Danio rerio: one gene and its partners. The protein of the gene in region 3 interacts with the protein of the main gene of each other region in a pairwise test. Links are inferred from orthologs where the notes say so. Each region holds a gene or a part of one and is shown on either strand. Other genes may lie near its edges. The genes, in order: pam16, htt and fez1.

The links.
Region 1: the proteins of fez1 (region 3) and pam16 interact in a two-hybrid assay, tested with the Homo sapiens proteins (2 studies listed by BioGRID and IntAct). The link is inferred for Danio rerio from reciprocal best matches to the Homo sapiens genes FEZ1 and PAM16.
Region 2: the proteins of fez1 (region 3) and htt interact in binary tests that used the Homo sapiens proteins (3 or more experiments, as listed by UniProt). The link is inferred for Danio rerio from reciprocal best matches to the Homo sapiens genes FEZ1 and HTT.

Annotation. Positions count from the first base shown.
Region 1 is NC_133178.1:10,503,157-10,508,254, reverse strand, and holds part of pam16 (mitochondrial import inner membrane translocase subunit tim16), read left to right. Parts: intron 1-1,207; coding exon 1,208-1,344; intron 1,345-1,433; coding exon 1,434-1,499; intron 1,500-5,098. UniProt on the Homo sapiens protein: Regulates ATP-dependent protein translocation into the mitochondrial matrix. Inhibits DNAJC19 stimulation of HSPA9/Mortalin ATPase activity.
Region 2 is NC_133176.1:44,460,055-44,466,622, reverse strand, and holds the start of htt (huntingtin), read left to right. Parts: upstream 1-1,974; 5' UTR 1,975-2,268; coding exon 2,269-2,366; intron 2,367-6,568.
Region 3 is NC_133185.1:36,774,221-36,781,101, reverse strand, and holds the start of fez1 (fasciculation and elongation protein zeta-1), read left to right. Parts: upstream 1-2,434; 5' UTR 2,435-2,462; intron 2,463-6,881. UniProt on the Homo sapiens protein: May be involved in axonal outgrowth as component of the network of molecules that regulate cellular morphology and axon guidance machinery.

The DNA of each region.
Region 1 (5,098 bases), on a different chromosome or scaffold from region 3:
GTCCAAGCCACCATTCATTTGACCACTCGTTTATGATCACGTTTTATTCATATCACACATTAAAGTTAATTTTATATAAAGTCATAGTGTACACAACAATCTCTGGGCTTGCTGCATAACAAATACCAAAAATTTAACAATTTATAAAAAAATAATCACTTTCTGGCCATCGGATACTAGACATGGACATATATACTGCGATCGTGATTTTCGAAAGCCTTTAATCGCTTTGTAAACGTTTATTGTTACCATTTCATGAGTCTCCCCTTTCAATTGAAAAGAGCGCTTGGACCCGGAAGCCGCTTCGCGTGACGTCACACTTAACAAGCGGATTAGCCTCTTTAAGCTATATTTTTTGTGATAGTCTACAGAACGAACCATCATTATACAATGACTTGCCTACTTACCCAAACTTGGCTAGTTAACCTAATTAACCTACTGTAATTAACCCTTTAAATGTCACTTATAGAAGTGTCTTGAAAAATATCTAGTCAAATATTATTTACTGTCATCATGGCAAAGATAAAATAAATCAATTATTAGAGATGAGTTATTAAAACTATTATGTTTAGAAATGTGTTGGAAAAATCTGCTCTCCATTAAACAGAAATTGAGATTTTATATTTTTATTTAATAATCTACATGTTTATTTATATTTTTGTATTTATATGGAATTAATTTTTATAGTTATTCATTAGTTATGTAATATTGATAAAATAAATATTCTGTGTTTTTTTTTATCGAACCAATTGAAATAAAAGATTGTTAATAACTATTATAACACTTATTGCTTTTTCACCTTGTTTAGTATATGTGTTTGTTTATATTAAGTCAGTATTTGCAAGGAGAAACAATTAAATAATATTTTATGTTGCATTATGTTCTTTTAGGTATCATTTTAAATCACTACGATTAACATATTAATCACTATAAATATATTATTAATAACATATTAATAATTTATGTCATTATATAATATTTACTATTTTATTAAACTCATTGCATGCATGAAGTAAACGACATTTTAACAATACACTTTAACATCAAACTTTAAACTGAATGCTAGTATCTTGCAAAATATTATGTACTGTCATCACAGAAAAGACCCTATACATTGTTTATGTATAATGCACACACATTGGCCAGACCTAATCCTAATAGATGAGTGATGTTATTAATCAGGTGTGTGTTTGTGTGTGTGAATCAGCCAGTCAGGCGGCTGCGGAGGCTCGAGGTCAAGCGGGCAGACAGTCTGCGGCGGCGTCCAGTTTCACAGGAATGACCTTACAGGAAGCCCAGCAGATACTTAACATCTCCACACTAACGCCAGAGGAGATCCAGAAGGTCAAACAAATTCACCAGCACACAAACATCACAGTGTTCCCACTCCGAGTAAATATGATATTAACTTTGTGCTTTCATTCTCTTTTCAGAATTATGAGCACTTATTTAAAGTCAATGACAAAGCTGTCGGCGGTTCTTTCTATATTCAGTCGAAGGTAAGAGATGACGCTGACAAAATCAACTGTGACTACAAAACCAGTCTTGTATATTTTTGGTTGTAACTGAAAATACATTATATGCATCAAAATTATACATTTTCTGTACTTTTATGCCAAAAAGTCATTAGAAGGTTTAGTACAGATCATGTTCTGTGATGATATTTGGTTAATTTCGTACTGTTAATTTTCCTGTGTCTTAAGTGTAAAAGTAGCATACAGAGGAAAAGAAAAACCAACAAGAAAATAAAGAAGAAAATGTGTTTGTGTGAACGGGTTTACATGAATTAAAGCTGTTACATAACAGAGACTAAATACATCAAATCAATAAGGGTATATGTGTCCTTAAAAAGCTTGTCATAATGTATCAAAGATTTGCGCCTTTTTTGTCTGTTTGTTTTTGGTTTAGGAGAGAAAAACAAATGAGTCAAATTCGGCAAGAAAAATGGGAAAAACAAAAGAAAATTTAAGCCATTTCTGCTTATGAATAAAATAATTTTCAAAGTCACTTTAAGGGTGCTTTCACACCTGTGAATCGATTCCGTTGTTCCGAAACAGAGATTACAAATGTTACAATGTTGCTCTTTGCTCTTGGAGCGGTTCGCTTTCACACTGCAAAGTTTCTAATCGGGCCAAAAGAGATAAAACAAGTCACGTGCGAGTAAACTCTCCTTACATTGGTCAGAGTGTCAGGGTTTATTTTGCAGAGTCCTGCTCAGCTGTCAGGAGAGGTGGTGGTTTGGTGGTGTTTGACAAGGTGCATGCGTCGTGTTTGAAGAGCGAGGAGAGATGCGGTGGGGAGGGGTGAGAAGGGTGCGCCACGTAGCTTATTTGAGGACCGGGAGTGAGACGCAACCTTATCGGGAGATTATCATTAGTTTGCGGGCATCCGGAGACTCGCGTAACTTCCCGCCCTACTCATAATTCTCTCTTCATATAGCTGTAAGCCTATTACATATCCATAAACACAGTGATATAACCGCGCTCTGATCGGATCACTTTCTCACTGCAATCGATCCGCTCCAGAGTTCATTTCAATCGAGCCGAGACCACCTCATTCAAGCGATCTCGGAGCGATTGATTTGGCGCGGATCCGAGAGCGATTGGTGGTTTCACATATGCCAAGCGAACCGCGCTAACTGGGCAAACGTGACAGCTTCTGAAACAAAAGTGTAGGTGTGAAAGCACCCTAAGCGGTATAGAAGTGTCTTGAAAAATATTATTTACGTTCATGTTTATGTTGCAAAGTCAGTTTGATGTACAGCTTGCATCGCATTATCAAACTTTTCATGTAGACATCTTGGAGTGAAAACATAGACTGAACTTGAAGCCGATGGTGACCTGGTCTGATAAACTCACTGCACTGCGTGACATCCTCTCGGAACCGCGGATGGCCATGGCGTGACCGTAGTATAAACTCGCAAGTCTTCCTCGATTTCAGCCATCATTCGAACATAAGCGCCTGTGCTCTAACCGAAAGCAGGAGACGCGTCTCTATGACAACCTCCTGCGACACAATCTCTTCAATGCGGCACCTCACAAAATTTGCTAACAAGTCATATGAATGATATTTATTATCATTTGACAGTAACGGAGGAGCGTTTTCTCTAATAATTTACTTGAGTAAGAGTAAAAGTACAGTTTTAAATGAAGTCAAAAAGTACACATTACCCTACAATTGTACTCAAGTAAATGTAATGAAGTCAATGTAATTCGTTACTCCCCACCTATATATAGAGATATAATTCTACATCCCTAATCCTACCCAATACCTAAACCCAACTACTACCTTGCTACCTTTTAATAAAGCTGCCAATTTGTAGTTTGAGCTAAAAGTCTTAGCTAGTGATTTGTCGATGATTTGTCAATAGATTGAATTGTACATTAACGTGTCACCGAGTTGTCTTCAAATCTGAGCGGTCTGAGAAAAGAGATCTTCATTTGACCGCAGCTGAGGATTATGCTGATCAGTAAAAGCCCAGACCAACATATCCATTGTGTCAGCAGTCTACATTTCACACAATGTTTCCTCCACCTAAGGCTAGGTCATGTTAATGTGACCCGCGAACAACAGCAGGTGAAGTTCTGAGAAGAGGCGCGTTGTGGTTTTGACACCCTTCGAGCAAAAACAGCAGAGCAACACTTTACAAACAGCTGCTGTTGGGAAGAAGATCTAAGAAAGACACGCATATGACGTCTTCTAAATGTCAATCTAAAGAATAATTGAAAGATCTTATCCAACATTTAAGCTATGCATTATGGATGGTTTAAAAGACATGATCTTAGAACATGATCTTGTTTGCTTATTATTTTTTGTAATCGTTTTTTATTTGTTTTTGTTTGTTTTATCTGCATTTTTTGTTTGTATTTTATTAATTCGTTTTTTGTTTGTTTGTTTGTATTTATTTATTTGTTTGCTTTTTTGTTTTTTAATTTTATTCATTGTTTTTGTTTGTTAATTTAATTGTTTTTTGTTTATTTATTGATTTGTTTTTCATTTATTTTAGTTTTTTATACATTTTAGTAGTGTTTTTATTTGTTATTCACTTTTATGTTTTTGTTTGTTTTGTCTGTTTTTTGTTTGTATTTTATTTATCTGTTTTTTGTATTTGTGTTTGTTTGTTTTTATTTGTTTGAGTTTCGTTTTTATTTATTGATTTTATTAGTTTTTTTGTTTGCTTATTTGTGATTGTTTTTTACTTTTTATTTATTTGTTTGTTTCCTTTTTTATTTATTTTTTGTATGTTTTTTTATGTTTTGTTTGTATTTCTTTTTGTTTGGTTTTATTTGTTTTTGTTTGTGTGTTTTTTATATGTTTTTTGTTTGTTTTTTATTTATTTGTTTTTATTTGTATTTTCTGTTTTGTTTGGTTTTATGTTTTTTGTTGCTTGTGTGATTTTATTTTTATTTATTAGTTTTTGTTTGTGTAATTTTTTTAATAATTTGTTTGTTTTTTGTTTGTTATTTTATCAGTTTTTGTTTGTTTTTTATTTGTTTTTTGTTTGCATTTTTTTATTTTGTTAGTTTTTATTTTTCCTGTTTGTGTGTTTGTTTGTTTTATTTGATTTTCTTTGTTTATTATTATTTTTTAATGTATATTTATTTTTCTACATAATTTAAATGTTTATAGATGCAACTGGGGAATTGGTTTGCAGGGTTACTAAAAAAAGAAAAAACGGTATGCGTCATGGCTAACATGTCTCCTCAATAAAAACACTTTAATTCATTCAATAACACCGGATGAATAAAAACAAAACTTTACATTAAGCATAAAAAAAACATTTTTACATAAAAAATAACATAAGCTAAAGAAAAATAATCTGATAAAAAGTACATTCACTATCATAAAGAATCATTATGATGAGTAATAAATAAATTATAAATGAATTTAGAGAATATAACATCTTTAGAAATGTTCACACACCAAAACAAAGCTTAAAAGAGTTTGTTTCTTAAGTTTGCCTATTTAAATAATTCTTTGAATCACAATTCGATGTGCATTTTTAGATTTTCACTAGTTTATTTTGTCATTTTTGATCAGGTAAGGTACCAACAGTAAGGTACCAACAATAATTATATGTATTCATTTAGAACTATAA
Region 2 (6,568 bases), on a different chromosome or scaffold from region 3:
ATGTAACACATGTACTCTTCTAAGGATGTATGGCAGGATGGAGCAACTTTTCCTCGCATCTTTATTGTGCCTCTGCTGTGATGCTGTCATGGAATGTGAGCAGACACAGCTGTGCTGAGATTGGAGATCATAAACAGTCCAGATGAGCAGGTGAGTGTGGCTGCAAAATAACAATAATCTTTATTAAACAAATCGGCTTATTACCGAGATTCAAATAAAAAAATTAAAAATTGAATCCAAATTTAGGATTATGGCATTTATTTCTCTTCACCCACTATCACATGTGGGTTGCTACAGGAATTTGTGACTAATCTTCAAATGAGTCATGTATGGATTGGCCTCACTGGGAATGCCACTGAGGGAGTGTGGAAATGGGTGGATAACACTGAACCGATCCTAGAGTGAGAAAAAAAATACTATGTTTTGTTTTTGAAAGAGCAAATATTTCTCCAAAGTTAAAAAAAAAATGTTTATTTACAGTGTATATGCAGTATATATTTATCCAATTTGAAATTGTTTTTTTTCAGGTACTGGATAACAAGCAAGCCTTATAGTGTGGATGGATCTGAAGTTTGTGTGGAGATTAGGCCTGAGCAGCCAAGCCTAAAAAATTGGAATTACATTCAGTGTGAAGAATTTAAACATTATAACATTTGTGAATATGAATATTAAATGTTTATTTTATTTGAATCGCCTTACCATTGCTTGTGGCTGAGAAATATGAATTAGCAGACAAATGAATTGATCTAATTTCAATTAATTAATTAATTGCTTTTTTGCTTCCATTTTCTGTAATGTTCTCTAATATAGTTGTAAAAATTTGATTTCTGAAAATTCTAAAGACATTCACAATGTCAAGTTTTTAGATGATATATGAACATTCTTTAAAAAGTAATATATTACAGCGTTATTTTACAGTGTAGAAAGTTCAATAATCAGGTTATAAAAGATGCACTTTTTAAAGTATGTGACAGTACATTTCATGTTGATCAATACTCGAGATGCTCGCGGGCCAAAGTTGGCCCATGGTAATCTTTGATTTGACCTACCATCCCATCTGAGAATAGAGGAAACATGATGGGATGCTTTTGAGATTGTCCATTCAAATTTAATGCAACCCTTTGTTTGTTTGTTTGTCTTATTTTTAAAAGTTATTTTTGAACTCCACTGTGTTATAAATGCGATTGTTTGTTTGTTATTACAATAAGTTATCATTAAAAAAGTTATAACTGCATCAATACAATTAAGATAATAATTAATAATAATACTACTAATAAAATAATAAAAATTATAATATAATAATTAATAGAATTTAAAGAATTGTTTTATTTATTTTAAAATAAAGTGAAATAAGTTAGGAAATTACCCATGCCAACTTTAATGTAATATAGTTGGGTATTTACCTTTGGCCCACAGCTCTCAATGATATTTGGTTTTTGGCCCTTCATATGAACCAGTTTGGGCACCCCTGATCCACATGGTTGCACATATTTAAATCTGACATAACATTTATAATTACCAGCCATTAATTTAATATTATTAGAATATGTATTTTGTGTGATTTAAAAACAATATAATCTGTGTTAAAGCAACCTATAGTTTTATTTAATTTGTTTGTTTTGCTTGTTTAGATGTCTTCACAATTACAGTAAATGTATAAAGTGTATTAATTTTCCAGAAACTAGCTGTCCTTTTTACACGTACAATAGGGTATATTTGCCAATATATTTGTATACACAACAATAACACATGTTCGTTTCGTCAGAAATATTACATCAAATTTTAAATTATCAAAACAAACACAAAAAAAAGTTTAGTAATTGATCAAGAACATTATCAGTCGGTCTGGCGGAAGACTTGCATCACAATCAAGCTAAGCAAGCTGTAGATGCAGACATTCGCCATTGATTTTATTATGAATTAGAGGACTTCAATTTTGACAGGAGTTTTATTAACCCGGAAATACAGCAGAACAGTTGCTCTCCTAACCCAGCTTTAAGATGGCTTTCGGAACTGGACGTGCTATCAACTACCTTCAGAGCATATTGTTTGAACAATGGTCCTAATCGGATGGTGTGCGGAAATTAGACCGGACTTGAAGGGCTTTTGTCCTCCGTGAGGGGGTGTCCGTCTCGACGACACCGTCAGTTTCCCTTCGGCATTCTGCACAGCGCTCGTTACCAGTCTGTGACACTGGCTGTCGTTTTCAGTTTGTAAATATTACCCTATCTCCGATCAGATTATATCTTCATCACAGCTTCTGTTAAAATGGCCACCATGGAGAAGCTAATGAAAGCGTTTGAGTCGCTAAAATCATTCCAGCAGCAGCAAGGCCCGCTGTCGGCCGAGGAGCTCGTCCAGAAACAGTGAGTGCTGAACTGATGTTAATGCTGTTTAACGCTTTGTTGCAGTAATAGCCCTCTGCTTCATCATCATGATCATCATCTTCATAATTAGGGCGCTGACATCACTTGACACCGTGGCCATGCTAATGTTATTATCACAACATGCATAAGTGCAGTGTTGTCTTTTCATAAGGCTGACTATTGTTGTTGTTGTCTTGGGTTTTTAATCACATGATGCTCAACACCATAGATGTGTCACAGAGCCTTGTTAGATTCTGCGTCAGTGCTGAGATCAGACACTGCGCACTCCTCAAGAACTGGCTTCAGGACTTCTGATGTCCAAGAGTGTTGTGGTGTAAAACAATTACACTGAATGAATCTGTTTATTTGTGTTTGAATGCTGCCATCTTCTGAATTTTTATTCTGACTTCCCACAACTGCTTGTCTTCGTCTGTCACTAAACATCATTAGATAAACAATACTGTCATATATGACGTACAGCTCAAACACACACTCAAAAATAGTCTTTAGTATCCAAATATTGAAAATGTAAGATGTGTCATTGTGCCTTCCCTTTACTCATAAACATCTCATAAATATCTGCTTTGGCATGTTTACTTTGATGCCATATTAAAGTATAATATTTAAGGTTCGCAGAGCATTCCCAAAAATATAATGTATATTTATATTTTGGTCATGCACTGTGTTAAGGACAGATATTTGAACCACTATTATACATGTACGTCTATATGTACATTACCGGTTTTTTACATATAGACTTTGGGGTTCTTTTTATGTTTTTATTTTTTTTAATAAAATTATTCTGTTCATCATCAAATGTAAAAAAAAAATGTAAACACTTATTTAAATATTTATTTATTACTTGAAGTTTATTAAATGAAGTTATCACTCCAGTAATTATTGCTTTTTACAATAATAATTAATATTAGAGTGATTTCTGATTGATTATGGGACTATTGGAGTAATGAAGCTGAAAATTCATCTTTAATATCACAGAAATAAACTATTAAATTAAATGATACACTACTTTTGAACAGTTATTTCATAGTGCAGTAACATTTCACAATTTTCACTGTATTTTTGATGAATTATTAACCCCCCTGAATTATTAGCCCCCGTTTATTTTTTCCCCAATTTCTGTTTAACAGAGAGAAGATTTTTTGAACACATCTCTAAACATAATCGTTTTAATAACTCGTTTCTAATAACTGATTTATTTTATCTTTGTCATGATGACAGTAAATAATATTTGACTAGATATTTTTCAAGACACTTCTATACAGCTTAAAGTGATAGTAGTGTATGTATTCTTACCTGTGTGTGTGTGTGTGTGTGTGTGTGTGTGTGTGTGTGTGTGTGTGTGTGTGTGTGTGTGTCTGTCTGTGTGATTCTGAATGACAATGTAATTTGGACATTTGCACAAAAGTTATTTTAAACATGAAAGTTTTCGTCGCTTTGCTTGCATTTATTATTCTGCTTTGTGTATTTCAAATCATGTTTAATTATTGTAACTAAAATGGGTCTCAAAAAGTATTAGACGTTGTTTGAAAGTTTGGGATGCTGTGTAGTTTGTGAAATTGATTAAACCCTACTAAGTTGGATGTCACACTGCTTTGCTTAGTGCAGTAACCAAGGCAGCACCATTATTTCTGCTGTTCTATAGGCGAAACTGACTGGATTAACATTTTAATAAAGTATATGAATAATGTTCTAGTTTAGGATTAGTTTCTTTCAATCATTATTTAGTAAATATATTTTTAAAATGTCACCAATGTTACCTGTTCAGAACTAAAGTGGCGATGAGGTCTTAATAGAAAGATTCTAAAAAAAGTCTTAAAAGTATTAAATTTTACCCTTTGACTCCTGTATATACCCTGTTGTAGTCTATTTGATAATTTTATATATTGTAAATGAATGAATGAATTATGGAAATATTATATTGGATAATCCTACAGTACATATATTATTAATATAGATAATCCTAGCTAGGGCTGCACAATATATCGTTTCAGCATCGGTATTGCAATGTGATCATTACCAATAGTCACATCGCATGATATATGTAATGTTGAGTTTATGATATAATTGATCGTTTGCACGTGATTAATGATTTTAAAAACATTCAGGCATAAAAATTGTACCATTTGTGACTTTAACAATGATTTATTTTATTGAGTTATTTTTGTTTTTATCATTCAGTTACTGTACTTAAATACTATTAGACTCAAGGAAACGATAAAACACTTTATTTTTGTTCTATCTTTTTAAAAATTGTATTTATATATTGTTATGCATGAAAATAACAACATATGCAAATACACAATTGTACCGCTAATAGCACAGCCCACAGTGAAAATGTGTTGGGGGACCCCAAAAGTCTATAGATTGTTTATTAGATTTTATGAAGATGCAAATAGTAAACACAAATTCATCAATTTCTGACAAAACACGTACATGCAAATACAGAAAAACATTGCAAATAGCTCAGACCACAATGAAAATGTATTGTCTATTAGATTTTATGGAGATGCACTCTCAAAGCAGAATCATCCCAATCAATCTAACATGATAAATCCTTTCCAAATATAGATATTACGTCATCTGGTGAAATTGTATTCTTATCACAGTACATCACAAAGTAAAAAAAAAAAAAAAAAAAATTTATATATATATATATATATATATATATATATATATATATATATATATATATATATATATATATATATATATATATATATATATATATATATATATCGCAATTCTAGATTTTTCCAATAACGTGCAGCCCTAATCCTAGCAAGTTTTCATCTATTGATTTGTCCACGCACAATCATGCTGAATGTCTTGAAATTACAGTATTTTGAATAGTAAATGTATTGAATGCAAAAGCCAGCTAGATTTTAAGTTGAATAAATATTTGAGGATTTATGACTCGTGGTCAGAGTACAGTCTTTATCGAGTGATAATGTGAAATTGCAGTTTTAATAAAAATAAAATCGAATAGTCTAGCCAGCATCTCACATTTGATTTAAAGTAGAAATATGTTAAAATGTTCATTTAAAGTAGGCATGTCACAATATCAAATTTTTGTTGTGATATATTGCACCAAAATATAGTGTGATTAACGAAATTATTGTCATTTTAAGACCATTTTATGTCACTCATTATAAGGGATGGCGCGGGATAAGATTCTGACGGTATGATAACCTTGGTTAAAAATCTCACAATATTGTAATTATTTCTCTAAAATATGTTTTTTTTTTAAATGTCTGGGTAAAAACAACTTTTTTCCCCCTATTGAACACAATATTTTTTATTATAAAAAACATTTCAAATATTTTTGAACAGTAACTATTAATGTGGAGGGTCTCTTTCTGCTGGAGATACTGTTGCTGATACTGTAAAAACACATACACAACCCCCCACCCCCAAACAAACAACAAAACAAAATATACCGTTAGAACAGTATAACAGCAAATGTTGACAGTTTTAAAACCTTGACTTTTCTAAACCAGTGATCGACTCATGCCTACACATTATATAAGGCCAGAATGACAATATACTATAATATTGTCCAAATACGATGCAAGTGCATTCTTCCAAAGAACACATATTTTATTCTGAAGAGTATTTCATTTAATTATAGTCATTTTAGTAATTTAATGATTAGGCATTGGAATCAGAATGTGAAAATATAAATATATACAAAACAAATAAATAATATTGTGAATAAATGTAACAAAAAGTGCAAGGTAAAAAGCTACAGAAGCTGCAATATCTGCTATCAGATCTATTTTCAGTTGTCAGGCACCCACATGAAAATATACAGTAATTTATAGTAAATACTGTAGTGTTGTTTTTAACCATACTGACACCTCCAATAGAGATGGAGATGTTCCACAATCAGCTGAATTGTTGCTGAAATATATTTTTTATTGTACGGGCGATATATATTGCATCACTAAAAATGATGTCATGTCCATGTGTTGTGCGATAAGTCGATATATTGATTATTGTGACAGACTAATATAAAGTTGTTGTTTTCTTGAAATCTTGATAACTTTTCAAACCATATTTAGCACAATGCAAGAGCTCCATGTTATCATCTTGATATGAATACACTGTAAAGATATTGGAGCGGGGGTTATGTGCAATTAAAAGAGTGATTTCCCTTATTTACAACTCCAGCACCATGTGGA
Region 3 (6,881 bases):
ACACTAAAAACTGTGGGTTGTTTAAACTTAATGTTGGATTAAATATTGACAAAACCAACTATTAGGTTAAAAAGTGTAATTAAATTTCATTGAAAAATTTGACTACACGTTGGGTTTGTCCATATTTGACCCAATGTTGGTGTACAACAACTGAGCGTTTTAGAGTGTATCATTCTATTATCTACACTGTAACTCTAGATTACACTACAAGATTATGATCATTATAATATGTAGCATTCAAATGTACATCTAAAAAATGATACTCATTTTGAGATAGAATAATGTTCCTTAAAAAATGTTGATAAACTATTTGATAAACTAATATTTTTTTAAAGATTAAGACAATTGAAGGTAATTTATTAGTATTGGCTTGTTGATGATGGCCAGAAACTTTAAATTTTGGTATTTGTGATGCAGCAAGCCCAGAGACTGTTGTGTACACCATAATTTTATGTAAAATTCCCTTTAATGGGTGATATGACTAAAAAGTGGGTGATATGTCATAAATGAATATTTTCCGAAACAGTATTTCATACGTCATGACTTAACAACCAAAAAATAATAATAATTATAAGAATAAGAATAAATGCACAATTAAATTTACAAAACATTCACCTAACAATGTTACTGATATAATGGAGAACTATGTAGTATTTAGCAATTTACTAAACTTACTAATTAAGTGTAAATTTTAATATTTAAATATATGCAATTTTACCTTTTTAACTTTGTGATATCAAATTTATCAATGACAAATTAGAAGCATTCATCAGTCTCCAACTTTTGGACCAAATTTGATATTTATTTCACATATGTTATTTTATGATAGTGAACTATATTCATGCAGTAGCTACATTTTATATATTTTCTATAGCGCTTTTACAATGCAGATTTAAAAACAGCTTAACACAGAAGTTCTAGTAAACTGAAAATGAAACTGTGTGAGTCCAGTTTTCAGAGTTAAAGTTCAATTTAGTTCAGTTCAGTGTGGGTTCATTTTCACTGCTGAAAGTCCAAACACTGAAGAGCAAATCCATGGATGCGCTGCTTCACCATTACCAAACCAAGCAAGCCAGTGGCAACAGGGGCAAGGAATAAACTTCACCTATTGCTGAAAGTTAAGGGGAAAAAAATCTTGAGAGAAACCATTTCTGCTCTGGCCAAACTTTTCATGCAGAGCTGCAGTCTAGGCGGCAGAGGAACCTGGAGACCTGAAGAACGCTGGATGCCCATCGTGGAGAAGCTGCAGATGCAAGAACTTCACCGGCAGGTGGTCAGGCTTACACACGGGATCAATGCAGAGACTCGTCGGTTACTGAGTCTCCACTCCTCCATGACCGTCACAGCATCTGCTCAAGATACAGCCTGGTCCAGGATTATGACACCTCAAAAAGTGTTCTGTGGTTGGCGTCATAAATGTGTTTTAATAAAAGAAAAATAAATAATAATGCTCAAGAATTTGCTTTCTGATGTAAGGTTAATATCTTAATATTTAAGGTTAATTGGCTTTCCATATCATTTTAATTTGGGTGCAGTACCCCATATTTCTGCAATGTGAAATTATTAGTTTCCAATGTAGGCATTTTTAACCACAAACAGCACAAGTTTTACATATTTTAGCACCATTTACCCTTTTAAACAATTAAATTAGAATTTTGTAGCATTCAGATATGGTAAGCGATCTACTTTTTTTGTTTAAAAATTATTAACCCACCAGAGGGTTAATAATATTACATAAGCTGTTCCACTAGTCATAAATGATTATAAAAACTACAATACATATATAAAATGCAAAAAATTATTACATTAATAAATAAATCATAATCGTTTCTGACTTTTTAGACCATGGCTATGCTATATAACCACTCTATACAGCCATACAATCCTGCCAGATTTATAGCCTTCATTTCAATAGCAAATGATTGACAGTAAGGAGCCGGCGTTCATGTTGTTAGGCCCAGCGTTCTCACTGAAAATCCCTTGAGCGTGCTTTGAGGCGTAATGAGAATAGATCCTGCCAGGAGACCCCCGATGTGGCTGATGACAAGCGGGTTCAAGGTGCGAATAAAGCCTTCGTACAGTTTTTTCTTTCCTCCATCCTCATGAATATGCAGGGATTTGGCTCCTGGCAGCGGGAGGGGAAAGTGGGCGGAGAGAGAGGTGCATGAGGAGAGCAGAAGGGGGAGGGGGAATCCATCCGTCAGTGCGCAGGCTCTGTGGAGGAGACGACAGGACGACTGCTGCTTAATGCTCAGAAAACAACACTCTGAGCCTCGGCTGGCTTAGACAAGACGCCGTGGACTAGAACAGGGAGCCGGGCGGCCATCACGACTCCAGCTTGCGTGTTTGTGATGGGAATGACTGTGTTCTTTCATCCTGACTGATGGTGGATTCACTCTGACTATATCGGAATAGGAGGGGCTTTTTTCAACCCAGATACAGAAGGAGAGATTCTTCTGCAGGTAATTTGTTCCTCCCTCTTTTTTTTCCTATCCTCCATCACTCCATCGTCTCCATCCTGCCATTGTTTTCCCATTATTCCCTTCAGGATTTATGGGGTAACCTTGATCTCTGTTCATTCTGCTTCCATCCATTTCTATTTTTTCTTCTTCTTTTTTCTTTCTGTGCAGATTTATTTCCAATTATTGATTTATTTTTAACATTTTATTTTAACATATTCCTTCTGTATTATTATTCCAAAATATGAATTTTTATCCATGTGGTGTTACCTAAAGATATGCTTGAAAAATTAGTCCACCAGATCTGATTCGGTGTGATGTTGTATTTCATCTCTGCCATGCTTTATGATGTGATCGGCCATATTTCTTCCCATCATGGCTTGTCAGTTCATCTTGTCTAATAACACGGCTGATATTGCACAACACAGGTCACACCGGCACTCAAAAAATTCATCTTACATTCACAAATAATTCTCAATTTCAGAAATACCTCTCACAGTTTTTTGTCTTATCATTATGAATGTGATGCACAATTCTGTGACGTCATCCTCAGTGGATGTCCCACAGCAAAAATAGTTCTATTCCATTGGTACAATTTGTGTTTCATCGATTGATTTGGGGTCAATATGCTATTTAAACTCCTGCTCAATTTCACACACCCATCCCCAGGAAATGTGAATAAGGGGAAGCGGTTTATCACTGTAACGTTGCATTAACAATAGTCCGATTTTTTTTATCTGGTTCTCATCATAGACGCAGACTAATGCATGGCAGACAAACAAATCAATGCGCATCCACAAAAACTAGGGAGTGGGAAAGGTCATAACAATAATTCTGACATGGCACAGACAGTGTTTTAGTGGAATGGCACTTTGCTGACTAATGTAATGTTGGGGTAAAAGCTTACGCAAGCCTGTTTTAAATGGATTTTGATCCTTTTACAGCCTGACTCTAAGCCTGATAAAGCCTTTGTGCTCATTCACAGCAACTGTCAGTTGACAGGACAAAAAAGGAGGTGTGAACTGTAATGGGTGGATGTTATATGTACCCCGAACTTGTTCATTTCAATGCATGAATCAATGCAATGCATTTTAAAGATTAAATCGATTCTTGGAAGTCATCTTGGCCTGATCAGAATGTAAATAGAGGTTGTTTTGGGAATCAGCCATGTAGATAAAATAACACCATAGTATTATGAAGGTGTTCATTCATTCATTTTCCTTTGGCTTAGTCCCTTTATTCATCAGGGGTCACCACAGCGGAATGAACTGCCAACTTATCCAGCATATGTTTAACACAGCGGATGCCCTTCCAGCTGCAACCCAGTACCGGAAAACATCCATACAACACTCATTCACACACATACACTACGGCAAATTTAGTTTATTCAATTCACCTACAGCGCAAGTCTTTCGACTGTCGGAGCACGTGGAGGAAAGCCATGCCAACACGGGAAGAACATGCAAATTCCACACAGAAATGCCAACTGATCTAGCGACCTTCTTGTTGTAAGGCTGATTAATGAGCAACCGTGAATCCAGTATTGTTTGGTGAATTAAATAATAATGCTTTAAAGACAAGATTTCCCTTTTTGAATGCATCACATGCACTGTATATTTACATAACAGTTTACACATATGTCAAAAATCTACTATGTTGCCAAAATAAAAAATTTGAATAAATGTTAAAATACAGGTAAGATAATGCTCCACTGTCATTCGGTGACATGACGTACCTATTCTGTGAGTAAATATAAATAAGCGATCGTATTTAATTATATTTTAAGTCAAGTTTATTTATAAACAAATTTCGAGAGGATCACGTGCTTGTGATTGTTCACAGCTGTTCCAACTTTAGCTAATGACTGATTATCCTATCAGACGATCCTTAACTCACTATAAATAACTAGACTTTTCTCATCTCAATACCTTTGTCTTGAAGAACCCCCCCCCCCCCCCCCCCCCCCCAACCCTACTTTCTCTCCTTTTAGCGCTGTTGCCTCACAGCAAGAATGCCCCTGGTTTAATTCCTTTCCAAACCAGACGGCATTTCTGTGCGGAGTTTGCTCGTTCTCCCCGTGGTCGCGTGGGTTTTCCCCGGGTCCTCCGGTTTCCTCCCACAGTTCAAAAACAAGCACTCTAAACAATTAATCCAAATACTTTAGCTATACTCTGCTAAAACAAGTAAGAGGGGGAGTCATTGAGATCTGCCTGAGCTCAAACTCCCCTCTCGCCTTGCAACGGGAGGGAGCCCAGGGCTCGAGGATCTTATAAGCTCAGGGCTCTCTCCCGGGACAGCACGCCAAACTAGCTTTATTATCAATCATCAGCTAAGTGTGAACTCTTGAAAAGACTAAAAGATTGACAAACAGGCAAGACCTTGAGTTTTTAAGGATAGATAGGAAACATTTAATTATTTACTTTTTATTTTTATTTCGAGGCTTCTTTGTGAGCCTTAAATAAAGTCTTTTAATATGAAAGCAGATAATACTTGTTCTAAATATGCATAAAATATTTGGTATATAAGCAAGTTATACTTCTCTTACTTTTTTTACTCCTACTTACACTGTCTACTGTGAATAATTGTAATTATTTAAATTAAATAAACATATTTAAATAATGGTGCTCAATATTTATTTATTTGATTTTAAAAAAATAAAGTAAAAAATGTAAAGATGTATTACACTTATTATTTTACTGCTGGAAAACCAATTTTCTTTGACCTTCATGCATTAAATCAATATAGAGTTTTATAAAGCACTAATGGCTGCAGAGAAAATGCTAATGCTAATGTACTTTCTCGTTGACTCTTTTTCATTTGTTTTAGAGAGTGAATCTGAATGAGCACCAGCTATAATTGCTGTCTGACTTTGGCTACAGCACAGTCCCAGTATTTATTGGGGAAAACTCCCAGAGGTTCTGCTGAATCAACCGTTACCCAGATTAAACACAATTACTTTCAGTCTTCTTGAGCGAAATGCAGTCACTGGTGCTCCACGCTTGCTTAGTGGAAGAGAACGAAATTAATTTAATGAGATGTCATCTGAGAGAAACCCTATTTTATAGTCTAAATATTCATAGTTGATAAGCTTCACAAAATGTTCCTGCTTCTGAGGCAGTCACTGTTATATAACTCATACTGCTCATACTTATATAACTCAATATAAACATATTTAAATTCATTTTCAGCTGTTTAAGAGAAGTGAGCTTTGTTTGAGTATGGCATTTATTTTGAGGTATTGAATATGGAACCAGATCAGTTTAAAAAATAATTCATTTACAAAATAAGATTCATACTCAATTCACATTTATTTTGTTAATTCAAAACATGTTTAATAGTGGTAATTATTTAAAAATGTCTTTAAATATTTATGACTTATATGCTCAGAAAAAAACATGCAAACATGTATTACACTTATTATTGTACTGCTTGAAAACCACTTTTTCTGACCTTTATGTATTAAATCAATAAATCAATCAAAAGAAAATTCAGTAATACGCAAATCCAATTCGTAAATTTAAAAGACAATTCATAAATATGCAAATCAAATTAATAAATTAGAAGATAATTCATAAATATGCAAATCCAATTCATAAATTCAAAACACAATTCATAAATAAGCAAATCAAGTTAGTAAATTCAAAAGACAATTCAAAAATACATAAATCTAATTCATAAATTTAAAACACAACTCATAAATATGCAAATCCAATTCGTAAATTCTAAACAAATTCATAAATATGCATATCCAATTCGTAAAATCAAAACACAACTCATAAATATGCAAATCGGTCCGTGTACGTTGCGTTCATTCGATTTTTGATCTTAAACGAAATTTAAAAAACGAGGAAACGGCCGTTTTTCGTTTTTTTATTTGGCTACAAAAAAATTAAATAACTGATTTTGGCTCGATTTTCTTTTTTTGGTTTAGGGTAGGAAAACGGATAAATGACTTTAAAATTCATTATCCACATGTAGGCGGTTCTGAAACGCCCATTTCCTCTGATTGGTCAATCAAATCTGGGCTCCTGACGTCGCCTTCAAAATAACAGTCCTGTAGTCTTCGTCCTCTGCGGATCAGCACACAGGCATTTAATATATTATATTTAATATATAATATATTAGCAGTATTATTAGACATTTATCATTACAATTTATCATTACTATTATAGTTCGCCGCCAAATTTGCTGCTATGCACCTGATACTGAGCAAAAGATTTGCTGTATCAAATACATATCAAAGTCCCTTTATAGTCTTTGCCTCTCTCTCTCTCTCTCTTTCTTTATGTGTGTGTGTGTGTGTGTGTGTGTGTGTGTGTGTGTGCATAGGCTATATAGCCTAGAGAGGAAAAAAAGAGAGAAAGCGAGAGATAGATAGATGGATATGCGTACATGTAAGGATAAAAGCTTAAATTCAGCCGA